7 linked regions of the Xenopus tropicalis genome follow. The protein of the gene in region 1 purifies or fractionates together with the protein of each later gene. This does not show direct contact. Links are inferred from orthologs where the notes say so. Each region holds a gene or a part of one and is shown in the gene's direction. Other genes may lie near its edges. The genes, in order: ehmt2, dnmt1, cbx5, chd4, cdyl, znf644 and mier1.

What was found.
Region 2: the proteins of ehmt2 (region 1) and dnmt1 purify together in Homo sapiens (affinity purification with western blotting; 3 studies listed by BioGRID, with this or other methods). This does not show direct contact. The link is inferred for Xenopus tropicalis from reciprocal best matches to the Homo sapiens genes EHMT2 and DNMT1.
Region 3: the proteins of ehmt2 (region 1) and cbx5 purify together in Homo sapiens (affinity purification with mass spectrometry; 3 studies listed by BioGRID and IntAct, with this or other methods). This does not show direct contact. The link is inferred for Xenopus tropicalis from reciprocal best matches to the Homo sapiens genes EHMT2 and CBX5.
Region 4: the proteins of ehmt2 (region 1) and chd4 purify together in Homo sapiens (affinity purification with western blotting; 3 studies listed by BioGRID and IntAct, with this or other methods). This does not show direct contact. The link is inferred for Xenopus tropicalis from reciprocal best matches to the Homo sapiens genes EHMT2 and CHD4.
Region 5: the proteins of ehmt2 (region 1) and cdyl purify together in Homo sapiens (affinity purification with mass spectrometry; 4 studies listed by BioGRID and IntAct, with this or other methods). This does not show direct contact. The link is inferred for Xenopus tropicalis from reciprocal best matches to the Homo sapiens genes EHMT2 and CDYL.
Region 6: the proteins of ehmt2 (region 1) and znf644 purify together in Homo sapiens (affinity purification with mass spectrometry; 3 studies listed by BioGRID and IntAct, with this or other methods). This does not show direct contact. The link is inferred for Xenopus tropicalis from reciprocal best matches to the Homo sapiens genes EHMT2 and ZNF644.
Region 7: the proteins of ehmt2 (region 1) and mier1 purify together in Homo sapiens (co-immunoprecipitation; 3 studies listed by BioGRID and IntAct, with this or other methods). This does not show direct contact. The link is inferred for Xenopus tropicalis from reciprocal best matches to the Homo sapiens genes EHMT2 and MIER1.

Annotation. Positions count from the first base shown.
Region 1 is NC_030684.2:73,967,909-73,971,408, reverse strand, and holds part of ehmt2 (histone-lysine N-methyltransferase EHMT2), read left to right. Parts: coding exon 1-58; intron 59-1,087; coding exon 1,088-1,174; intron 1,175-1,778; coding exon 1,779-1,857; intron 1,858-3,197; coding exon 3,198-3,373; intron 3,374-3,500. UniProt on the Homo sapiens protein: Histone methyltransferase that specifically mono- and dimethylates 'Lys-9' of histone H3 (H3K9me1 and H3K9me2, respectively) in euchromatin.
Region 2 is NC_030679.2:137,112,283-137,115,782, reverse strand, and holds part of dnmt1 (DNA (cytosine-5)-methyltransferase 1), read left to right. Parts: intron 1-359; coding exon 360-511; intron 512-989; coding exon 990-1,177; intron 1,178-1,294; coding exon 1,295-1,478; intron 1,479-2,026; coding exon 2,027-2,124; intron 2,125-2,212; coding exon 2,213-2,363; intron 2,364-2,523; coding exon 2,524-2,639; intron 2,640-2,714; coding exon 2,715-2,916; intron 2,917-3,066; coding exon 3,067-3,200; intron 3,201-3,500. UniProt on the Homo sapiens protein: Methylates CpG residues. Preferentially methylates hemimethylated DNA. Associates with DNA replication sites in S phase maintaining the methylation pattern in the newly synthesized strand, that is essential for epigenetic inheritance.
Region 3 is NC_030678.2:145,634,783-145,638,034, forward strand, and holds part of cbx5 (chromobox protein homolog 5), read left to right. Parts: intron 1-2,132; coding exon 2,133-2,295; intron 2,296-3,252. UniProt on the Homo sapiens protein: Component of heterochromatin that recognizes and binds histone H3 tails methylated at 'Lys-9' (H3K9me), leading to epigenetic repression. In contrast, it is excluded from chromatin when 'Tyr-41' of histone H3 is phosphorylated (H3Y41ph).
Region 4 is NC_030683.2:10,084,815-10,089,031, reverse strand, and holds the start of chd4 (chromodomain-helicase-DNA-binding protein 4), read left to right. Parts: upstream 1-1,417; 5' UTR 1,418-1,495; intron 1,496-2,844; 5' UTR 2,845-2,947; coding exon 2,948-3,026; intron 3,027-4,217. UniProt on the Homo sapiens protein: ATP-dependent chromatin-remodeling factor that binds and distorts nucleosomal DNA. Acts as a component of the histone deacetylase NuRD complex which participates in the remodeling of chromatin.
Region 5 is NC_030682.2:87,935,868-87,939,367, reverse strand, and holds part of cdyl (chromodomain Y-like protein), read left to right. Parts: intron 1-1,702; coding exon 1,703-1,913; intron 1,914-3,500.
Region 6 is NC_030680.2:105,038,841-105,041,612, forward strand, and holds the end of znf644 (zinc finger protein 644), read left to right. Parts: intron 1-1,096; coding exon 1,097-1,286; 3' UTR 1,287-2,272; downstream 2,273-2,772.
Region 7 is NC_030680.2:83,762,884-83,767,092, reverse strand, and holds the start of mier1 (mesoderm induction early response protein 1), read left to right. Parts: upstream 1-1,409; 5' UTR 1,410-1,507; coding exon 1,508-1,516; intron 1,517-4,209. UniProt on the Homo sapiens protein: Transcriptional repressor regulating the expression of a number of genes including SP1 target genes. Probably functions through recruitment of HDAC1 a histone deacetylase involved in chromatin silencing.

The DNA of each region.
Region 1 (3,500 bases):
ACCAGGCCTGTTCTTGTTGGCAGACTTGCAAAAACAGAGTGGTGCAAAGTGGTATAAAGTAAGTGTTATTCAGTGTAAAGATGACCCACAGATCTATTTAACAGGCCATGGTAACATCTACATATTTCTGCCGTAATCTCCAGGTGCTTTACTCCAGTATGTATATTTTTTGTTTCTATAGACTATACTTTCTTATGGGAAAAAATCTATATTTAATGGTCTTAATTTCTAAATACAAATTGTCCTATTTTAGGGAAGTTGCACTCTAAATAATTTTAGCCAACAGGCCAAACAGGCAGTGTGTGTATGTGTGGCCATACATAATAAGGAAACCTCATGCATGCACAAAAAAGTGACTAACTGCTCATATTAATATTTTAAGCCAAAGTTTCATTGCTATAAACAGTATTATATTTTATTTTTAAGTATGAACTAGTAATATTCTAATGATAGTGTATCCTTTTAATATAAACTGTTAAACCTTAGTTCTTGTTTGTCTTATACCACAAGTTTAAGTCAGTGAGGGAGAATTATAGACCATAATTTCTGTGACAGAGGAGATTTGGAGACTGAACACAAGCTTAGCAATTTTTTCATAGACTTAATAAAGCCTGTTTTAAAGGGGACCTGTCACCCTAAGAAATAACTCTAAATTATTTTCTATATTCTTAGTTAAGCAAAATAAACTTTACTTACTCTATATAAATAATATAAATCCAAACCTTGTATCATGCCAAAATCTTGTTTATGTACCAGAATGGTAGGACCAGATGCCCATGCCCAAGCACTGGCTACATCATTAGATGATGAGGAGCGAGGGGGAAAGTGAGATGTGCAGTGACATCTAGGTAGTGCTGAGCGGAAAGCTGAAGTTATTGTCTGCCCCACCTCTATGCCTAAGCAAGCAATATCTGATTGGTAGCTGGGATTTTGAAATGCTTTTATAATGGGCTTGAATGTGTTAATATAAAAATGAATTTGGGTTTCATGTTTAATTTGAAAAGTACTTTTATTATACAGCTTTTTATGTCTGGGTGACAGGTCCTCTTTAATTTGTTCCTATTTATTCCTTACCCAACAATATTAGGGTACGTCTGCAGCTATATCGCACGGCCAAGATGGGCTGGGGTGTGAGAGCCCTGCAGGCAATTCCTCAGGGAACCTTCATCTGCGAGTAAGTCTACTTTTAATTTATGCCTAGTCATCATACATAACATTATTTTTTAAAAGTGTGTACTTGGATTTCTTTTAGCAGCCCTAAATAATTATTCAGATCTGATCTTTATACCATTCTTCATTATATATAGCCTAAATTTAAAGCCCCAACATATCCTATTGGGGGTGAAATGGGCCAAGGATTTTGGTGTATCTGAGGTTCTTTGGAAGGAGACCAAGTCTCTGCATGCAATTTCTTTAAATCCTAGCAGCAAAGACTCCTTTTTGAAACTGTTCTTTACTTTGTTGGGTGCTCAGCAGGACTTCATAGAGGCACAGCTAAGACAAAATCAAGCAACAGCTGCATTTCCATTATTATTTGGGGGATAGTGTTGCTCAAAATAGTATTAGGAGCAATGGCATACTACATCTAGAAAAGAGAATATTCAAATTATGCTTGCTAAAAACAAACTTACCCATGCAAGATAAAACAGTGAATAAGAAAATAATATAAAAGGCTTTTACTTAGCATCAGACTTCAACACATTCTAAACACTGACTTCATATGGATGAAACTGACCTTTCCAGATGCTTTGTAAATTTTTTTTTTTAATCAAATTCAGGTATGTTGGGGAACTGATCTCCGATGCTGAAGCTGATGTTCGAGAAGATGATTCTTACTTGTTTGATTTGGACAACAAGGTAAAAAACATTTTCTGTAGGTACACAGATCTAGAGCAAAGATTTGTCTTTAGGAATATGCACGTAGTAAGCTATAGATCAGTTTGCTCTCCATTTTCTTCTAGTCTGCTTTTTTAAGAGAATGTATGAACTTCCATGTATCACCAGTCTTTATTTAATCTCAGCTAGACCTGCTAACTGTTTTGTTTAAGATGGCTAGAACAAAACAAATGAGAAATGTTAATGGACTAAGGAGAGAGTGAAAATAGCAAGCTTTATAAAACTGATCATCCCCCATATAAAATCAGACCTAAATGCACCAAGAGATGCTTGGTAGGCTTTTTTCCATCTGTTTTTGTTTTATCATTGATTTTTAAGAGGTTAGAAAGTGGTTCAGAAATTGTATGTGGGTCTGTTTCTTGGATCAAATAAATTACACAATTTACATAATTATTGAGGTCACCAGGCACTCTAGTTTCCGGTTTAGTACAATTAATACTATTAAGATTCTTAAACTACTTACTAGAGGCAGATACATTCATTGTAATACAGCTTGCTCACCTTAGGCAATTTTCTGTGGTGCAAAGTCTCCTAGGCGTATGGCAGTGCCCCAACAATGTATAGAACAAAACAGAAATAGACTCTGCACTCAAGCAAAATTTCAGCTGTGGAGCTTACCCCATTTATTATGCCAATGTACCACAAAAATTCAACGTTTCCTTAGTCAGTAGAGTGCTCCCCTGAAACATTGATTTTTTTTGTGATACATTGGCATAATAAATGGGGGAAGCTCCCCAGCTGAAATTTTGCTTGAGTGCAGTCTCTATTTCTGTTTTGTTCTATACATTGTTGGGGCGCTGCCATACGCCTAGGAGACTTTGCACCAAAGAAAATTGCCTAAGGTGAGTGCAGCTATGATTTTTTTTTTTGTTTGCTACAGTTGTTTAAGATGGCCCCAGTGTATAGGTCAGTTAATTCATTTATTTGTGAGCAAGCTGTATTACAATGAATGTATCTGCCTCTAGTAAGTAGTTTAAGAATCTTAATAGTGTTAATTGTACTAAACCGGAAACTAGAGTGCCTGGTGACCTCAATAATTAAGAAAATTGTGTAATTTATTTGATCCAAGAAACAGACCCACATACAATTTCTGAACCACTTTCTGACCTCTTAAAAATCAATGATAAAACAAAAACAGATGGAAAAAAGCCTACCAAGCATCTCTTGGTGCATTTAGGTCTGATTTTATAGGGGGATGATCAGTTTTATAAAGCTTGCTATTGTCACTTTCTCCTTAGTCTGTTCACATTTCTCACACTCTCCATCTTTTTAGTTCATTGTAAATTCTGTCTCTCTGCCAGGATGGAGAAGTGTACTGCATTGATGCCCGATATTATGGAAATGTCAGTCGTTTTATTAATCACCTTTGTGAGCCAAACCTGATCCCAGTGCGGGTCTTCATGTCTCATCAAGATCTGCGCTTCCCTCGAATAGCCTTCTTCAGTGGGAGGGATATCCGTGCAGGAGAAGAACTGGGGTAAGAATTCCATTTTACAAGAAGTGAGTTTTATAGAAATGGAATAAAAGTTGAAATTTTTACCATTTTTGTTTGGGTTTGTGCAGTTACCTGTCGTGTGGCAGCTCCCACCTATTCATTCATGCTC
Region 2 (3,500 bases), on another chromosome or scaffold:
TATTTTTGATGTATCTAGTTTATTTAAATCCCATCCTTGCTTTGTAAAGATGAATACTGAAACATTGGTTTAGCTCTTATGTTGTCTCAATTCACAAGATACAACTTGAACTACTTGGCCTTCAGTGCATTATATGCCTTTTGCCTAATAGGGAGGGGGGGGTGTGGGAACTTGCTGCAACCTGTGGTAATGCATTGGCTGTCTAACCAATACCTTCCGTTTTGCAATTAAAGACTTGTTAGTCTGACTTATTTTACACTTTGTTGTAGCACCATTGGGCCTTTCTCTTTGCCCTTCACTTGCCTTCAGGAAAATGCTGTGTTGCTCATAATCAAACTGTTATGCTTTTGGACTTGTAGCTTTTGCGGACTATATCCTAATGGATCCCAGTGAAGAATACAGCAGCATCTTTGCTCTGATGCAGGAAAAGATTTACATGAGTAAGATAGTTGTAGAATTCCTTCAGAATAACCCTGATGTGAGTTATGAAGATCTGCTCAACAAGATTGAGGTGAGCTCTTTCTTGCAAACGCTAACTCCACTCCTTAGATGAGAATACCAAGGAAATATACATTGATGCAACAAATTGCAGTGTTAAGGGTTAAATTCCCAGGTAGTATAACTGTAAAATCAAGATAAATGGAGGGCACTTGGGGCTTATCTAACTTTACATAATTGCCAAGATCAAGCATTTTCTCCTCCCTGCTTACTTTTTTACCTCTGCTAATGCTTAACCATGGGTGAGCTCCTGAAAATGTCTTTTCCCCAGCAGTAATGTAAATTGCCAGTGAGAACATATGCAATACTTTTTCCTACTATCCTTCTTGAGTTGCTGGAAGTGACCCATAGGATCTTAAGGCATTGTGGTAATCCATAAATATTTAGTTTCGGAAAGGGCAGGAACTTATCCATATGACATATGTTCATCTACAGAAACTTAATGGGTTTACATTTTCTTTTTTTTTTTTTTTTTTTACCTCTGCTTTCAGACTACCGTCCCACCTTCAGGCTTAAACTTTAACCGGTTCACGGAAGACTCTTTATTAAGGCATGCACAGTTTGTGGTGGAACAAGTGGAGAGCTATGATGAGGCTGGTGATAGTGATGAGCAGCCTGTTATTGTAACTCCCTGCATGAGGGACCTCATAAAGTTGGCTGGTGTTACCCTGGGCAAAAGGTTTGTTATAGCTGTGGGGCTATTTAAGTTTTAAGTGGGTAACTTGTAAAACAGAAGCGTCTGCAGTTAGTCAGTGCATGTTTCCTTCTCAGTGCTAACTTTAACTTTTCGTTTTAGGCGAGCAGCAAGAAGACAAGCCATTAGACATCCTACAAAGATAGAGAAGGACAACAAAGGACCAACAAAGGCCACTACCACAAAACTTGTGTATCAGATCTTTGACACATTCTTCTCAGAACAAATAGAGAAAGATGCAGATAAGGAAAATGGCATCAAACGCAGGCGTTGTGGTGTTTGTGAGGTATGGCTATTCAAAGTGTGTGGCCCTTATGATACTTCATTGAAAGGAATCTATACTGCACTTTGTTGCTTTTTAAGGCTAGATCAGAGTACAAAAAGCAGTGCTTTCTATAATAGACTAATAAATAGGATTACTTTGCTTTCAGGTTATCCAGCCAGTGTTCGGCCTACTTGACATAAAGGATCACCTGTCAAACACTGCCTTTTGGCAGTGGCAATTTGTGTTAAGACGTTTAAAGGGGTGGTTCACCTTTTTTTAAGTATTTACTGTAATATAATCTATTAGCCACTTTATGAAAAGACAAGTTTTTATATGGAGTTGCTAGGCTAAATTGGACCCAAGCAACCACTAAACTGTTCAAATTTGTGTGCCTTTTGAAGACCCAACTACACAGTGGGCCCTAGTTATGATTTGCTGGAGCCTTCAGACTCCAGAAATCATATTTGAAACCTTGTGTTTTCTAACTCAACCTGGTCCAAAACACAGCGCATCTTGGCAATATTTTAATTTTTTCCTCTGTTCTGAATTGAAGCCTTATTTTCCTTCAGGTGTGTCAGCAACCAGACTGTGGCCAGTGCAAAGCTTGCCAGGATATGTTAAAGTTTGGTGGGGCAGGCCGTACCAAACAAGCCTGCACACAGAGAAGGTAAGGGTACACATGTATATAGGAATACATGTAAGTTGGCTAAATTGACATCTGCTGTAAAATGTGACACTACCAAAAAATACTTCAGGTGTCCAAACCTGGCAGTAAAGGAAGCAGATGAAGATGAGGAAGTTGAGGATGTTGTACCAGAAATGCCTTCGCCCAAAAAGATCCTTCAGGGAAAGAAGAAAAAACTGGAGAAAAAGAACAGGATCTCTTGGGTGGGAGATCCAATTAAGGTATTTTACATCTCAAAATTTGTGTAGGCAATATACGCAATGTTTAAAATATGCATATTTGAAATCTGAGGCGCCAACATCCCATCAAGAAAGTATATAGGTCCATTACTCTTGTGCATTTTATAGATGTCATGCAATGTGGCTTTATTTTTCTTTAAAGACTGAAGGAAAAAAAGACTTTTACCTGAAAGTGTCCATTGACTCTGAAATCTTGGAAGTTGGGGATTGTGTATCAGTGAGTCCTGATAATCCAACAGAGCCTCTGTACTTGGCAAGGTTTGTAACCACTTACTCCTAACATGTAGTTAAAGAGTTGGTTGGTGTGAAGTTGCTAATTTTTGCTGGTTTTAGGATCACATCCATGTGGGAGGATGCCTGTGGGCCAATGTTCCATGCGCACTGGTTCTGCCTCGGCACAGATACAGTTCTTGGTGCAACATCTGATCCCCTCGAGCTCTTTCTTGTGGATGAATGTGAGGACATGCAGTTATCCTATATTCATGGCAAAGTGAAGGTCATTTACAAAGCGCCATCTGACAACTGGTTCATGGAGGTGAGAAACTTGTAACCTAATTAACATTCGCAGACATTCATTAAATCTTAAACAGGCTTGCAATTAATTGCAACCAATAGAAGGCTGGTTGGGTGAGTTAAGTTCTCTCTATTGGCAATCTGAATTTCGAATGTTCACTTGTTTTCACAGGGAGGAACACACACTGATATAAAGGTTGTGGAGGATGATGGAAGCACTTATTTTTACCAGCTGTGGTATGATCCAGAATATGCACGCTTTGAGACTCCTCCCACCCCTCAGCCTACAGAGGACAATAAGTATAAGTAAGTTATTTCTCTTCAGTAGACCAGTGTTCCAACAGTTTTTGTATTGGGTTGACTAATTAGTTTTGCTGGGCATTTAGACTTCCGTGTCAGTCCAAGCTATAATAAGTACACTGCTACAGTTAGCTGTTTTCTCGATAAGTGATCCCATTGTCTAGAAAGCTGAATTGTGGAATGGCAATGCTTTTTTTTATATTTACAAAATTTTCAAATTTCCTTCTGTAGTATTAACAGTACCTCGGGCTTGATCCTAAGATATAATTTAACCCTTTTTGGAGGTGAAAAAAAACCTACGCAGCT
Region 3 (3,252 bases), on another chromosome or scaffold:
AATGTTTGTCGTTTTGTTTAATTGGGCATTAGAGCAGTTTCCTAATTCCTAAATGCATTCAGTAGAATTACACCGTTTAGGGCTTGTTGGCCCATGGTCTTTGCAGTAGCTGTAACTGAGTTTCTGTGACACTCTGCAATATTAGATGCCCAGAGCCTACCTTGAGCTTTCCGTTTAGGTGGATGGCATTAGCTCCTGGATGCATTAGTGGCTAGAATGTGGAATGTGACTTCAAGATGTTCCAATGCAGTTGCCTAGACCAAGTCCTCTACCAAACCAATAGTAGGACATCTAGAAAGAGACATCAAGGTGACTCAGAGAGATATGGGACACAAACACATTGGCTTTATGCAGACCACAAAATGGAGCACAACATGATCTAATTTAGCTCCCAGTTCTTTCCCCTAGTGGAGAGAATTGCTGACGGGATAACACAGTGCTACAGTAGTTAGCATTGCTGTCATGAAACACTGAAGTGTTTCAGCCAATGGAATGGTGATATTTCAGTTTTTCCTAGATGCTCTTGTCAAATTTTATTTGCTGAATGAGTACTCTTCAACTCATCTTGGACAAGGGGGTATACTGACTTTTTAATATATAATTATAGTTTCCCTTTACAACTTCTTTCTTTCAACTTCACTAGTGCAATTACTATCGGGTAATTAGATGTTTTGGATCAACTCTTAATGACTAAAGAAATATCAGGCCTGCCAGTCACCTTCCTGTATCATCAGTATGGAATAGCCTCACCCCTCTGTCCATTCAACACTGGGGCTCATTCATTTGCTTGAGACTGGACATGAGATGAACTGCTTGAGAAATAATTGCTGAAATATTGCACAGCACTATTATACATCATTTACTGCTCCATTTAAGCTTACAAGCTAAGTTCATTTAGTGGGCAGTAATATCAGGAACCAATGCCTGTATGTTTTTGGAGTGTACAAGGGAACCCACACAGACACAGGGAGACCATTCAGACTCCATGCAGATAGTGCCTGACTGCCATTGAACCCAGGACCCCAGCGCTGCAAGACAGCAATACTAATCTTTAACTACTGTGATTTAAAGTATTGGTGCTAATATAACCAAGTTATCCAAGCAGAACCACATAACTAATTACATATGTTCTTGATAGGTTTCGCTTAAGGTAATAAATCAGATATACTACGCTAAAGTTCTGCAAAGGTCCAGTTGGACAAACCCTGTGCTGGACCCGCTGACCGATTACCCAATGTGTCCTCTACCTAAACCCACTATCCCTGACTGCAGCTAGACAACTTTACCTTCTGACCCAGAACTGTAAAACTGGAAGTGACGTCATTGTATACAGGAAGTGATGTCACTGTAGGTTAAGGGAAAAAATGGGTGGGAGGGAACATTCCTGCTCCTTCACCTTAACCCTGGCGGACTGCCCGGACTGTCAGAAAAACAGGAACTTTATGCCCGAAACCCAACCACTCTACATGTATTCAGTGGGTACCCAACCTGATGCAGGAAAAAAAATGTCAAAAAACAAATTTTGCCCATTGCTATGGATTCACTGAGAGACATGGATTGGTAAACACTGTATAAACTAAACATTGCATTGTGAGAAAAAAAAAAAAATGTCAATTGCGCTTGAAACTGCACTTTGCTCACTGCACGTGTGGACGTACATGTGCCCTTTTGTATTCAATTAAATGAAAATAATTGTTTTCTATACTCAACTCTTCATTATGGTTATGTCCAGTTCTGCTGTGCCCCCAATTATCACTAAGGTCCCTACTTGACCCTTGCAGCTGTGATAGTAATATATGCTTCCACCTGGCACCAAATAGTGCGATACACGAGCACCCACACCAACAGAGGTTTGTGTAACAGAGTTAGAGTCACCTTAGTTGAAGGGCAGATCAGCGCTGGCACGGGCCTCCAGGGATCCAAGCCTGTTTAAATGGGCACTGACACATGGCATGAATTTCTTAGTCACAATAGGGTCAGTTGTACCTGTACTTTGTTTTTATTTCAATTCTATTCTAATTTACAGAGCTGCGCCTACAAGTAATACTGCGTAAATAATAATATACATTTATAAATCCTGTCATTTTATGTCCCAAGGAAATTCTATCCATTTTATAATATCTGTTTTGCAGGTCCTAGGCCCAATAGGGAGGGCACAATGGGAAAAAAGAACAAAAGAGCATCAGATGCCTCCTCTTCCTCTGAGGAAGAAGAGTATGTTGTGGAAAAGGTTCTCGATCGAAGAGTGGTAAAGGGACAAGTAGAATTCCTTCTAAAGTGGAAAGGCTTCTCAGAGTATGTATGCTGTCTTTTTGTGTCTGGGCGTCAAGTGGGCTGTACAGTGGTATACATAGTGTGTATGGGGGGGTTTGGAAATTAGTATCAGAAAAGGAAAGCAACTCATTCAGAAATTTCTTTAAGAAATAAAAAATGAAGACTAATAGAAAAGTTGCTAAGAATTGGACATTCTCTAACATACTTAAATTGAACTTAATTGCGAACCATCTGTTTTAAGTAAACAGATGAGCTTTATTCACTTTGGAGGGTCAATTAGCACTTAGTTAGCCATTTAATTCACTTGGTGGTGAGAGGGGCTAACAGATTAATATCCTTTTAGTGAATTAGGCTTTCCTTGTCCTTTTAAAGGAACAGTAACATAAAAAAAAATGAAAGTGTATTAAAATAGTATAGGATGTACTGCTGCCCTGCACTGGTAACAGCTGTGTGTTTGCTTCAGAAACCCTACTATAGTTTACATAAGTACCCTGCTGTGTAGCCCCGGGGCAGCCATTCAACCTGGAAAAAGGAGAAAAGGCACAGGTTACATAGCAGATAACAGATAAGTTGCATAGATTCCCATTGTATTCTACACAGTTTATTATTTATATGCTATGTAACCTGTGCCTTTTCTCTTTTTTCCAGATTGAATGGCTGCCCCCATGGCTACGCTAGAGCTTATTTATATAAACTATAGTGGGGTTTTTGTAGCAAACCCCCCCCCCCTTTTACCAGTGCAGAGCAACAGTACATTTTATTTTAATTACTTTAAAACATTTTTATTTTTTAGTGTTACTGTTCCAGGCATCCAGGTAAAGTGATGGATGGACACAGTTATGTCCATGGACAGCTTATAGGTATTCTCATTGTTCTAATATATATAACCCCTCATTCCAGGGAAATGCAGGGAAGAGCATTCTGAGCAGTTTGTTACATGATAGGAAATGCAATTTTTGTGCTACTGAGAGTAAAAAG
Region 4 (4,217 bases), on another chromosome or scaffold:
GGGTAGGGGTTTGAAATGTAAGTGTCTCCATGGGTATAGGTGACCAGATATCAGTAAGTACACCTGGAATCTATCTGTGTGTGGCCACCATTACTGGAAAATGTATGAGGTACTTTAGATACTGAGATGTATATCTAGCAGTACCAAAACATGGGCCTGTGGCTTTATATTATCCTGGTAAAAAGTTATCGGCACATTTATGAGGTACTTTAATAGCCAATTTAGAAGTTACTGAGTGATTTATACTTAGTTAGCTGGCCTGGACTGGCAATCTGCAGATTCTGACAAATGCTAGAGGGGCTACTATAACATGCCAAAAGACAGTCACTATCTATTGCGCTTGTGGGGGGGCTGTTTGGGCCTCTGTGTTACTTGCCAGGGCCTATCTTGAATATTAGCCTGGCCTTGCTAGTTAGTACCATGATGTCTGCCTCTGGCCTCAGAGGATCCTGTTATAATGTTAATGGCACATTTATGAGGTATTTCAGTAACCATTTTAGTTACTGATGCTGAGGGATACTGAGATTTATTCCTGGTAGTAGATAGTATAAACTTACTACCGGTAGCACATTTATAGTAGCCAAGTTAGAAGCTGAAGGCATACAGAGATTTATCCCTAGCAGTAGTAAGTAGTATAAAGTTACTTGCACACATATATATAAGGTACTTTAGTGGCCAAGGCAGGGAGTTGTCACTGAAGCTGAAGGCATACTGAGATTTATCCCTAGTAGTAGTAAGTAGTATAAAGTTACTTGCACGTATATATAAGGTACTTTATTATTACAGGACTCCATTATCGGGATACAAGGAACAGATGTAGCCAGAATTGTGTGCCACAGATGACCGGATGCTATTTAGGGTATATTTTAGAAGCAAAACATTATGAAGGCCTCCAGTTATTATAGGGCCACAGATATTATGGGGCCCATACAGGAGGTTGCCCAGGTATATCAGTGTTACCCTGGAGAGAAGCTATTAGTCCAGGGCCATAGGAACCCTGTATTTGGAACCACCTGACAATGTGGAGAGGTACTCTGATAGGAAGGACTTATTATGGGATGCTGAGGGTAATGTTACTTACTCTGGGATGCCAGTGTGACTATTATGGGATGTCAGTCTGTGTCTCTTGTCTCTATGGCATGTCAGCAGGACATATTATGGGATGTCAGGCACCCTTAGGTTATTATGGGATGGCAGAAGTTGGTTATTATGGGATGTCAGGCTCCCTGGGTGTTATTATGGGATGCCGGGAGGTATTATGGGATGTCAATCTCACTCATGTTATTATGGGATGCCAGATGGAGTATTATGGGATGGCAGGCTCTCTCGTGTTATTATGGGATGTCGGGGGCCGCCCATCTCCCCGGCAACGCGCTGGTTGCTATGGTAACTGGGCGGGGGCAAGGGAAGGGGCGGGATTTTTACCATCACTGCCGGTGTGTCGGGGAGAAAGGAGCGGGAGAGGCACCGGCTGGAGGCAGCGCATGTGGAGCGGGTATGTGAGGGGCTCTGGGGGGGGAGAGGCGGCTGGCCCGGCTCGGGAGGGCTACGGGCTCCTTCACGAACTTACCGGGATTGTGTGTCCGGCGGGGGGTTCTGTCAGGCTTAGTTCCGGGGTGTCTATTCCCCGCAGCGGCCGGAGGGGGGGGGGAGTGGGTGACATGGGGTGTCCCTCCGGCAGTCCGCCGGGTACTCCCAACTTCCGGCCCCCCAAGTGCCGCCTCATGGAGCCACAACTGCGTCCCCTGCCTTTCTATTGTGTTCTGCCGGGACCTGACCCGGTGTGCCCCCCTCGGTACCGGCCTGATACTGACCCGGTGTGCCCCCCTCGGTACCGGCCTGGTACTGACCCGGTGTGCCCCCCTCGGTACCGGCCTGGTACTGACCCGGTGTGCCCCCCTCGGTACCGGCCTGGTACTGACCCAGATGGATCCTCTCAGTACTGCCCCCCTTCATTACCAGCCCTCCCCTCCCCCTCACTACCAGCCTCATATTAGTCCATTTCATTCTGTTATTAACCCATGTGTTCCCCACTCGGTACTGGCCTGGTACCGGCCCATGTGTGTCCCCCCTTATGGGTTCAGTACCTTCAGTACCGGGCCCATGGACCCCTGGCCTGTGCCCCCCCTCCTTATACTGTACCATGATCTACCCCCCCCCCCCTATACCATCAGGATTGTGGCCCTTCTGGAACCTTTTCATAGTCCTGTGTAGCCGCAGTGGCCACTTGGGGCCAGTAGCCCATACAAGTCTATGCCCCACATAGGTCTGTAGCCCCAGTATTAGCCAGTGTCTCTGTACCATGTGTAGTGGCTGCAAGCCCCCTGTGTAATATATATCCTCTGGGATATACCATCTGGAACTCGTGTGACCCATTCTGGCGCTTGGCAAGCTGGATCCATTCCGTGTTGCCCCAGGGGATGTATGGCCCATGGGAGCTGTGTCCGGCTCTGTGATACTGAGCACAATGGCGTGAGTCTGTGTGCATTCTCATAGCCACTCGTAGATCCGTGCTTCTGGCCTATAGAAACAAAGCAGCGTCCCTTGGCAACTGGAGGGATGTAGTTGAACTACAAGCTTGTGCTTATTTAATGTGTCCTTTGTCCTTCCCCGTCCCTGTGCTGCTGTATGATGTGAGGCCTTTGCTAATTGCATCCCCTCCTAATTGTGACGTCGGCTGTTTCTGTGCCACCACACATTACCTGGCCAGCATGGCTTCTCAGTAGCCTAGTGCCACTGGAGCAGATACCGGGCCTGTACTGATGGCACATTTGGGCCTATGGGTTTATATATAGTTCTGTGAATAAAATAAGCTTGTACTTACCCATGTGTCTCTCCTCACAGCACCCTGTCCAGTGCCAAACAGTGAGCCCCCCACCTCAAACATCGCCTGCTGTTCTCTGCTGCTACTTCTCACCCCCTGGTGCCATTTTGCTCCGTCTTGGACATGGCCTCCAGTCTGGGACCTTCTTCGCCCGGCAGCGACGGTGAAATTGAAGTGATGCTCAACAGCAGCATCCATCAAGGTAAAAGAACCGGAAACGGACCCGTGTGTGTCGTGCCTGTTTTATAAGTGGGAAAGGAGGTGTCTGTATTGATTTCCCATAGTGTGTGTTGTAGGTTGGTGTGTGGCTCTAGTAGCCAGTGTTGAATTTGCATGGGTTGTATATATAACAATGTGTAGGCCTTCCATTGGGACAGAGCCCACAGTGACCTGGCTGGTTCTGGACGCCGGGTTCAATATGGCAATTTATTTATACTATTTCCTGTGTTCCATCATCTTTGGGACTGATGTTAGGGACTCAGGTCTAGGCCTCCTGGGCATATGGGTAACTGCTTGTTAACCCCTTTTTGGTATGGTCTGTGGCCTGAACTGATTGGCTGTCAGATGTCTACTGGCTAATACTGTATAGAGTGCTCTTTGTAAAGGTGCATTTAGGCAGTTGTGGGCTCAGCCCAGGCATTGTTTTGCTTCAGGGTGTGTACATTGTACTGGCTCTCTGGGTTCCAGTATGACGCCATTTATGTATACATTTGGGTGTCACAAAGGGAATGAAGTATTGAGTTGTTAAGCAAAATGAGTGTTTGTGGGCCTGCATCAGTTTCTGGCGCTTCTGGCCCTTTAAGGACTTGATGCCTGGATTTGTGCACATAGCTCTGCCTTGTGGGTTCCTTGGGGCCCTTTGTAAACCCTTTAAGAGTACTGGTTATGGTTCTCTCCGGACCTTCCAGCCTCCGTTTATTTGTTTTTATTATTTACAATAACAAATTTCTTTAATTCTGTGAAAGTGTTTTTAAAATAGCAGAGCTTGAAAGGGCAATGCAGATAGTGCTGGGGGGGGTGACTGTTGGCATACCCCCCCCCCCCTTCCCCATGGTAGCTGTCTGCCCTAAACCACAAAGCAGGTAAATGGCCCCTGGAAATGACTGTTGTTCCTAGGGATCCAGCCAGTGTTGCGGCTCTGGTCGTATGGGGTTATCCATTATAAATACTGACCTCTGTGCCCTGGATTGGGGATTGGTCTCACACCTATGCTGGCCATATAAACAGATGGTGGCATGTTCTGTATTTATTGGCTATGGTGTGTGTTGGAAATGCCGGATTCTGGGTCTGTGGAAAGCATGTAAAGTGTAAACAGTGTCCCCAGAAGCAAAGTGGCTTCCCGTGTAGTTGCCGGCAGGCTGGCGAGGAAGGGGAGCCACTTCCTGCAGTTGTC
Region 5 (3,500 bases), on another chromosome or scaffold:
GCTTTTGTAGATTTTACTTTCTGTCTACATAGCCACCAAAAATGTGGGTGGCAATTCAGGTTTTGCTAATTTCTTGACTAATTTTTTATCTACTAGCATTGTCAGGGCAAAAACATTGCCACAGTATGATGTATTGTCAAAAAAGGTTAATGACATCAATGGTCCAGTTAAATTAAGCCTTTAAGCTAATTATAAATTCCTGGATTTACCTTCCTTTACCTGTGCCTACAACAAATGTTGATTTTAGCAATTAATGGGGTGGTAATTTCTGACTAACAGCTGGCAATGCATTGTGCAAAGACTTTCCTTGTCCTTTTAAGAAGAAACCTCTCTCACATTTAGCCTTCTTTGTATTACTATAAAATCATTTAGCAGCTGCTTCATTTTTGTTAATTCCACTTAAGAGTCTGCATAAAATTCAAGTAGCTCTCGCAATGTACTTTTAGAATTCACCTTCCTGGTTCAGTTTATAAATTTATCAAAAAGTAATTTTTTTGTTCACGGAAAGCATTAGTATTCTTGCCCATCTTATATTTTTGTCCTAAACCTATTTTTGTATTAATTTGACAAAAACTTGAAGAGCTAAATGCATAATAACATCCCTGTTTAAAACTAATTTAAAGACTGGCCACTCATAGAATGATCAGGATAACAAATTTAGTCATAGTCATTTTGTGCATATTGATTAATCCAGACTTGGCATCATAGTCACCCAGAATGTTAAATGTGGTTGGCAAATGATGGGTCTTCTACTTTGAGTTGGAAGCTACCATTTTCATGTGGTCTGCTCCTATGGCTCATGGGTTAAACACATTTTTACAAATTACCTTCCACCTGTTTGGAAAATATCATTTGATTTGATTTAATTTGATACGCCTCTTAGCGTATGTTACTATTTCATAGACCAAAATAAAGACCTTGCTGACTAGATCTTTCACACGTATCTTGCATTCTTTGTGTTTTTGAGACAAGCCATCATCATGTAACTTATAAGAGTAAATATGCTAGAATTATTAGAAATGTATTTTATTAGATTACAATGCTTTAATGGAAATGTATTTTATTAGATTTACAATATACAAAAGGGTAGGAATGAGTCTTTTCACTTAGAGCACTATATAACCTCTAGACTATGAGGTGGTTCTATAGCACATTGACAGTGTTTGATACTGTTCAATAGGCTATAGTGAATTATTAGCTATTACTACTCTGTTGCAGGTAAAAATAAAAGTACTTTGACTACATTACATAAACCCCAGATGATGGTTATACAGCCAAGGAGTGGGACTTTTGAATCTGACAACTGATACCTGTAACAGTGTGTTCTTTGCAGCTGTTCAAAGGGATGACTGTACAGTGAATAAGCCACTGCTGTTCAGGGTCCTGAATGCGGGAAAACATTCATAGTACTTATTCTCATTCCTAGGATAATTATTTGTTCATTCAGTGCTTTAAACAGTAGCAAAGGCTTTGTTACTTTAATAATAATCCAGTGCTGATAACTGGTCCTAGTATAGAATGAAGGAGAACAGAGATCATATCCATTTAGGTTCAGTATTTCAGACTGTGCAAGATTAATAATGTGAAAATTGTTTCATTTATGTGATTCTTTAAGAATATGCAAAGTCTGCATGAGTTTGTTTTGTAAGATTTTTGTGTGGAAAAACTATAATTATTTCAAGTGTATTTTTATATTTTCAAGGACATTTGTAAATACATTCATTCAGTTTAAGAAGCCAATAATTGTTGCTGTAAATGGACCTGCAGTTGGACTTGGAGCATCAATATTGCCTCTTTGTGATGTTATTTGGGCCAATGAGAAAGCTTGGTTCCAGACACCTTACACTACTTTTGGACAGAGCCCAGATGGATGCTCGTCTCTTATGTTTCCTAAGATAATGGGTCTTGCATCAGTAAGTAGTAATCCATTTCACCCTTCTTTTTCACAAGTATTTATTCATAGCAAGTATGTCTTCCATATATCCAAACAACCAACATGAACTTCAGCAAGTTTGTAATTTGTCCCCAATTGTATGTCTATTAAGTTGCCTGTTCACAGTTTAGTGTATCTTAACAACAGACATCTTTTCAACAGTTTAAATCAAAATAGGATGCTATATTTGTTTATAGATATATACATAGGGGCTGTTTTTTGTTTTTCAAAGAAGAAAGACAATTTTGTGGTAATCATTGTTGTAATAGTTACCTTGACATATTACTTTGCAGTGTCTTAAAATTACAATTTGTCTTAAAATTACAACACTTTTGTTTTTTTTTAACATAGTGTGTATGTTATTCACATACAAAGCAAAGGGAGCATGTGAGTTTTTGCAAGATTAATTGTTGTAGGTAGTTATGGAAAAAAAAACATTTCAAGAAGTATTGACTGAGGAGTAAGGAAAAGTCCCAGTGGTTTTGGTTAAAGTACAGAGAAGAACTGCTGAAAAGCTTGTCCTTGATGCTATACATCCCATATTTGGGCACATTTAGCCTTAAATTCAGTCGTGGTTAGCATTTTTTTTTATGTTGGCTCTAAAATCTAGTTGGTGAAGTAGATGCTGAACGGGGGGTGGTTCAAATTTTTTTTCCATACTTTTGCAAATAAGAGATGCAGTTGTGTTAAAGATATGGATAGGAGCTTTTTTTGTTTCATGTGGAAAGCCCGTTGCATGTAATTGCAGTGATAGCACTTGAGGTTCTAGAGGTAGTACTGAGGGGTATGTGTCCCTGGCTATCGACACTGTCTCCAGAAACGTTTCTGTGGATTGAAAAAAAAATCCATGAGAAAATGCATGTTTTGGTAATTTTTGCCATTTCGCAAATTTTTGAGGTGAATGTTAAACATGACCGTACCAATGTGGAGAAATTAGGGCTACAAATTTTGGTGTGAGGTACCACCTTTGAGTAAATTCTGTGTGTTTCTTTATGTGGTTGGCGCCTCTGGTGGATCCTTTTGGGGCTGAGAGGATCTCCTGCCATTGGTTAGACATTAATCGGAGTTGTAGTTCCCCCTTTCACATATACCTGTATGGGAATTTTTGATCTTCCCCCATTTACAGTTGCAATTTAAAGCATTCCAAAAGAATTGCTTTACAATCCCAGGCCTTTTCACAAAGATACTCATGTAGACATCAACAAGAGGTCTTCTGCACTCACCCATTATAATACTGTATGTATATATATATATATATATATATAGGACATTAAGACTTTCTGTGCATTAAGTTACCAAGACAAGCCCTTCCCTTAAAGCAAAACAGGGATTGTTTGTCCATATATTACAATATATTCAAGCTGGCCAACTATGTCAGTCATCCCTGGTCTGGCCAGTCCTACACTCAATTTCATCTTCCATCATGGTGTCCTGTCAAAGAATTTTGAAGATTGGGTTGAAACTTTTTACCAAATGTAATATCTGGAGATGAATATAATTTTTTTTTTTTTTTTTTTTTTCAAACATCCTTAGGGAGGTCACGAAGTAGAGGTTGCCTTTAGTGGAA
Region 6 (2,772 bases), on another chromosome or scaffold:
CCTGCCAGGTTCACCTCCCACAAGCAGCATAGGGCAAGCAGAGTATGGCACACACAGGCAGCACTCTGCCTGTCCTATGCTGTCTGTGTGTGCCATACTCTGCCTGTCCTACCCTGCCTGTGTGTGCCATACTCTGCCTTCCCTATGCTGCCTCTGTGTGCCATACTCTGCCTGCCCTACCCTGCCTGTGTGTGCCATACTCTGCCTACCCTACCCTGACTGTGTGTGCCATACTCTGCCTGCCCTACCCTGCCTGTGTGTGCCATACTCTGCCTGCCCTACCCTGACTGTGTGTGCCATACTCTGCCTTCCCTATGCTGCCTCTGTGTGCTATACTCTGCCTGCCCTACCCTGCCTGTGTGTGCCATCCTCTTCCTGCCCTACCCTGCCAGGGTGTGCCATACTCTGCCTTCCCTATGCTGCCTCTGTGTGCCATACTCTGCCTGCCCTACCCTTCCTGTGTGTGCCATACCCTCCCTGACCTATGCTGCCTGTGTGTGCCATACTCTACCTGCCCTATGCTGGCTGTATGTGCCATACTCTGCCTACAGTACCTATGTCTGAGGTGTGAAGAAGTGAACAATGGGAGTGATTATAGCCTGAGCCTGAGGTGTGAACACTGCAGAGGTTGAACAATGCAGGTATTAAAAGGTGTGAAAAACACAGGGGATTACATGTTTAAATTATACAGAGGGATTACAGCCTGAATCTGAGGTGAGAACCATGCAGGGGGCCAGTTAATCTCTGTACTGAAACCATTTAATGCTTACTCAAAGGTAAACCATCAAAGGGGGCCAGTTAATCTCAGTACTGAAACCATTTAATGCTTACTCAAAGGTAAACCATCAAAGGGGGCCAGTTAATCTCAGTACTGAAACCATTTAATGCTTACTCAAAGGTAAGCCATCAAAGCAGCCAGACAGGTGGGGGGCCACACAGAGGGGGGTCGCGGGCCGCCAGTTGGACAGCACTGGCCTAGAAGAATTTTTAGGTGCTGCTTTATGTTGCTATGTAAACAGTGTCATTTAGAAATAAAAAGTTCACCATAAAAATCATCACAGAATCCCTTTAACCTACTGATCCTTGCCATTCACAGGTTTTGTGGACTTGTATTTCGTGGGCCTTTGTCTATTCAAGAAGACTGGATAAAGCACTTGCAACGCCATATAGTTAATGCTAATCTTCCAAGGACTGGGGCTGGTATGGTTGAAGTGGAATCGCTGCTAAAGAAACCTCCCTCAATCTCTGAACCATCATTTCCTATTCTAATGGAAGCAACATCATAGAACCGAGATTATGTTAAAAACCACAAGACTTGTTTGGTGTACATTGAAACTTTTTTAAAAATAAAAGGTTGATAAGTTTGTTTAAACCACAATGGATACAGTAAAGGCTGATTTGCCGCATCACAGAGACTTTTAATTTACATTAAGCTGTCCAGTTCATCTTTGGCTAAATTGTATATTATTTTTTGTTGATTACACACACAGTGTAATACAACGCAATGTAGTAGTTGAAAAAATTTGAAATAGTGTTTTTCCAGTTTTTGTAACGACTGACATCCAGTTTGGGGGGGAAAAAAAGAATTGGATCCTTGTAAACATTTATTTAAACTACTTTCTCTAATAACAGATACTCAGTGTATTTAATTTAGGGCATTAAGTATTACCATGTACTGCAAATTTCACAAGACTGTTCCATTCAAATAGGGCAATCAGTACTCTTATGCGTAGATGTATGTGTTTTTTATTACACAAATTTTTGTACTAAAAAGTGGAAGGTGAATTGTTTTAACAGATCTTTCTGAAAAGTGTATATATATTAATGGAACCTATTTGTTGTAAGGAAATCCTTTATTTCAGTTGCATTTCTCACTAACTGGTGCATCCATGCTACCTCCTACTTTGTCAACAAAGATGTATCTACCCAATGACATTTTTAAATGTAGATTTTGAGCAAAGTTCTGTTTATAGAAAAAAAATCATTTGCTATTCTCTTTTAATATTTTATGTTAGTTTGGCACCTTAGTACTCTATTAAACACACATTTTGTAAATATGCCTTTCTCACCACACTTAAAGGGTGTTTTTATGTTACGTTTAGCTTCACATTCGATCATTTTAGCAGAAGTTTAAGATTTCAAAATACAAGAATGTTTACAATTAAATTTTAAAACTTGTTTTGGATGTGATTGTGTATGAACATTGTGTAACACTATGCTCTAAGGGCCCACTTACCGAAATATTAAAATAAATGTGTTGTGAGGATGGAAAGTTGAAGTTTAAATGTGTTTAACTTCAGTAACATCGACTCAAAAACTAATTACTAAAAAAAAGTCCAAGAAAGCAATACATAATGAGTTTCAAAAAATATTCAATATTACTATGAACACACTCCTTTTTTTCTGGTCAGATTTGTATGAATTACAAAAATGTCCTTTCTGTAGATGTTAAAGGGGATCTGATGATTTTGTGTATACATTTACGACATAATGGTTTATATGAAATCGATAATTCATTCTCTATCAATCTTCTTTGATATACTGATGCATCCATGACACCTAAATGATTCCAAAGCCAGGGGTGCTGTATGAGTTGCCTTCCAAGATTTTAGTCTACATTTCTTTACCAGGCAAGGGTGCAAATGTTTTTGTAATTATTGACTGATAGCAGCACCCTTTCAGCAGAACTCTTGATGTAACCTGGTAAATGCCAAGTACAGGCTACCTTGCTTTGGAACTGTTAGGTGCCCTCCAATACTTATCCTGTGCCCT
Region 7 (4,209 bases), on another chromosome or scaffold:
CATTACTATAGTTTAGTAAATGAAGCTGCTGTTTAGCCATGGGGGCAGCCATTTAAAATAGAAAAGGCACAGGTTACATAGCAGATAACAGATAAGTTCTGTACAATACAATGGTGTTTTATCTGTTATCTGCTATGTAACCTGTGCCTTTTCTCCTTTTTCCAGCTTGAATGGCTGCCCCCATGGCTACACAGCAGCTTATTATATAAACTATAGAAGTGTTTCTGAAGCAAATGTGCAAATTTTACCAGTGCAGGGCAACAGTGCATTGTATTATGATTACTTAAAAACATTTTTATTTTTTGGTGTTACTGTTCCTTTAACTTGAGACAGACCCAGTGAGATACTGCAAATTTATACCTGAAGTCATCAGATGCAACCCACCTCTGGTAGCAATTGGTCTGCTCTGCCCAACCCTTTGCATCACTAATGCGCTGGTAAACTAATTATTATTCTTTACAATTTTTGAATTATTTGGCTTCCTCCTCTAGCTTTTTCCAGCCTTCAAATCAGGGTCACTGACCCCAACAGGCATAAAACTATTCCTCTGTTAGGCTACAATTTAATTGTTATTGTTGCTTTTAATTACTTGTTTTTTTTAATTAAGTCCCCCTCCTATTCTCATTCCAGTCTCTTATTCAAACCACTGCCTGGTTGCTATGGAAAATAAAACCCCAGCAACTAGATAGCTGCTAATATACCAAGCAGGAAAGCTACTGAACAAAAGGTGAAATGATTGAAAAACCATAAAAAATGAAGACCAATTGCAAACTGTCTCAGAATGTTACTGTCTACGTCACACTAAAGGTTAATTTAAAGGTGAACTACCCCTGTAATTCACCATGATTCCTACACTGTCACGTATGGACTTTCTTTCTGGCCTTACAATAAAGGCAACATTTTTTAAAAAAGAAGAGCTATTTTGTAATTGGTGTGTACTCCCAGGTAATATGAACTTGTTACCCCCAAATTCACAAGTAATATAATTACTTTAATAAATGGGTACAGGGATAACAAACACATGTACAGATAAATGAAAGAAATACACAAATCAGACACAGTTAGCCGCATTATTTAAGCAATACAAAACGTTTGTGCTTACATTGTGACAACTGAATTCAGCTTTTTCGCTTTCCCCTCAGTAGCTGTGGGGCCAGACATGGCTTAGCAAATCTCGGTACGACACGGCGTACCAGCTATAAGATATCAGACGCTTCTTCTTGAGCTCTGCCGTGGTTCCGACAACAAGCGTTATTGGTACCCATGGAAACGCTATGTATTCCAACCCGGCTTGGGAAAACGCACGCCCCCTGGCGAACCGCCCTTGTTTTGTGAGAAGCCATTGCCACGCCTGTCGGTACAGTGGGCGCCTCCTCCTTTCTGCTGATTGGTCTCGCCACCTGGCGGTCAGACGAGAGCAGGCATCCACTTCCGCCTTTGCTGCGGATCCTAAGTTTCATCCGGGGTTTCGAGCTGACCCGCGATGTGACCCGTCAGTACGGCAAACATGGCGGAGGTAAGAAGGAAACTCATATAAACATCCCCAGTAGTCCTCTTTGCTGTCACAAATACATTCATCTCACGATGGTGAGAATTCCCTCCACACCTCACGTGTAATAGGCTCTATTGCAGCCCCCTAGGCCGAACCTTTTGCAGCCTTCACTAACTTGTTGCATTCTAGCTCTCCCGCCCAATCTCGCCTTACGAAAACTTCTCAGAGTGTTTCCCGACGCGCGGTGCCGCTTGGGACTGACTGATAGAGCGCAGCTTGCACCCTGATGGGGAGGCAGTGGGGCCGCTTGTACGGCCTAGCCTGAGACTTCGCTTTCGTCCCTTGCTCTTTAGGCGGGAATATGCGCTAGTCACTGCGGAAGGGCCACTCATTGCGCTCTTTCTATACGCCGGCCTTTCATATTTGATTTTCACTAAGATTCCGCTCTTTAGGGTTTTTTCTAAATTTCTCACAAACTTTCATTTAGAACAAGCTTGTGGCGTATTGTTCGCATTTGCTTTTAAACTACAGTTCCCAGTATCCTACAGTAAACGTTGATGCTCTTCTTAATGGGGAAGTCAGTCAAACACCAATTTTGTTTTGCCTAATTAAAGACAATCTAAATCTTTGCAATTTGCAATACACATTTATTCAAGATTGTCAATGCTTTCAAGTTAACTGTTAATCATTTTGCTAATGGATATTAAAAGCAACATCAGTCAGATTTCTTTTTCTCTGCACTGCTGGTTCTGACTTGTATCAATGTAGTACTGAGGAGACATTGTAGAACTAGAGAGCAAAAAGGGATAAACAAATGCAGCTTTCAACTGGAATTACATTAACATATATATTTGTAAAGATATGTTATTTATATTTAGAAATATATATGTTACAGAGAGTTGCGTGATGTGGATCTGGAAAAAGTTTAGTTTAGATAATGCTTTTGCTACGTTGTTGCTTGTTGAAATGTTTATTTCCTTATTGAATTCAGCAGCATGTTATAACATGTACTGTGTTCCATTCCCATAAAGGATTTTTTCTGAAGTCTCTATGAACAGTTAAATGTGCAAGATACAACCTTTTCCAACATGAGTAAAATATTTGTCTATTGTTTTAATTAGGAAAGTTTGTATGTCTTTTGATACTACTTACACTGAAAAGGTCAAAACCTGAAAATGAAACTAAAGTCACATTGTACTTCCTGACTCGTACCAGCACAATTAAAACAAATCAGCAGTCCACAACAGGTATAGGACCCGTTGTACAGATTGCTCGGGACCAAGGGTATTCCAGATAAGGGGTCTTTCCATAATTTGGATCTCCATACCTTTAAGTCTACTAAAAAAATCAATAAAACATTAATTAAAACCAATAGGATTGTTTTGGCTCCAATAAGGATTAATTATATCTTAGTTGGGATCAAGTACAAGGTACTTTTTTTTTATTATTACAGAGAAAAAGGAAATCAATTTTAAAATTCTGAATTATTTAATTAAAATGGAGACAGGCTTTCCGTAATTCTGAGCTTTCTGGATAAGGGATCCCATACATGTATAAAGCTTGTGCATTTGGTGGTGTGCTTTGGTCAATTAATTTTGATTTAACAACATGTGATTTAAGTTTAAATCAACCCGTAGGGCAATGACAGAGGTTTTTTCTTTTTTACCCATGCTACGTCACAGATGACAAAATGTTCAAAATAACCCTGCCCTTTCTAAATATTGATATTTCTTGGGGTAAAACAGTCAAATCAAGGAAAAATCATATTTATTTGACTGATAGTGGTTGGCAATTGCAGATTAATTTTGATGTTTTATCGCCACCTGTCATTGTACATAAAGTCTAGTCTAAAATACGTTACACGGGATAAGAATCATAAATAATATCAAATTACAGGCTGTTAACGCTAGGGCCAAGAAAAGTGAATTGCGCAATGTGGGGAAACATCACTATGGTATGCAGCTACAAGACACCTATGAACCACAGCAGTACCTCAGTGTCCACCTGTCCCTCAAATAAATTGTAACTCTTCTGCTGTATTTTGTGCTATGGTATTCAATCACACATACTTGCCCAGGGTTCTTTTCCTCTGAGCACTGCACCACTTCACTGATGTCCCATGGCTGGCTAGGACTGTTTGCATGGGCAGTACATTAATATTTCCAATTTTACTATACTGTGCTTGCAGTGATTTCTGCGTTCCTATACTGTGTGATCCATGGCAAGTCTGTGAAGATGGTGGCGCTCAAAGGCAATGTACTGTTAGTAGCTGTATGTTTCTATACACTCCCAGTAGCCTGGATAAACCACCCCCCATAGGTCTTTAAAGGCCTCCATAATGATCCAGTTGTTGGTTTACCAAACAAGCAGCTCTTCCCATATATTCCCAGCTTCGCAAAGGTGCATGTAGGCCATAAAGTACTCACACTTTTTTTTTTGTCTGGAATTAAAGAATACTAATATAATTTGTGTTTTTTTTGGTTATAATTACCAGCAGTAACAGGTTGTTTCCACAGGCTCCTCAACCGTTCAGGCATTTCTCAGTCATAAAAAAAAATCATAAAGTTTTGTGCATATCATGTAGATATTATGTGTAATTTCTTTTAGGGTGTTTTTTTGTGTTACTAGTTTTAGTAAATGTATTCTTCATGAACATTACCGTGTTCTAGTGTACTGCCCATGTTTGAGAAATTTTGGGTTCAGAAGTTAAGGTTTAA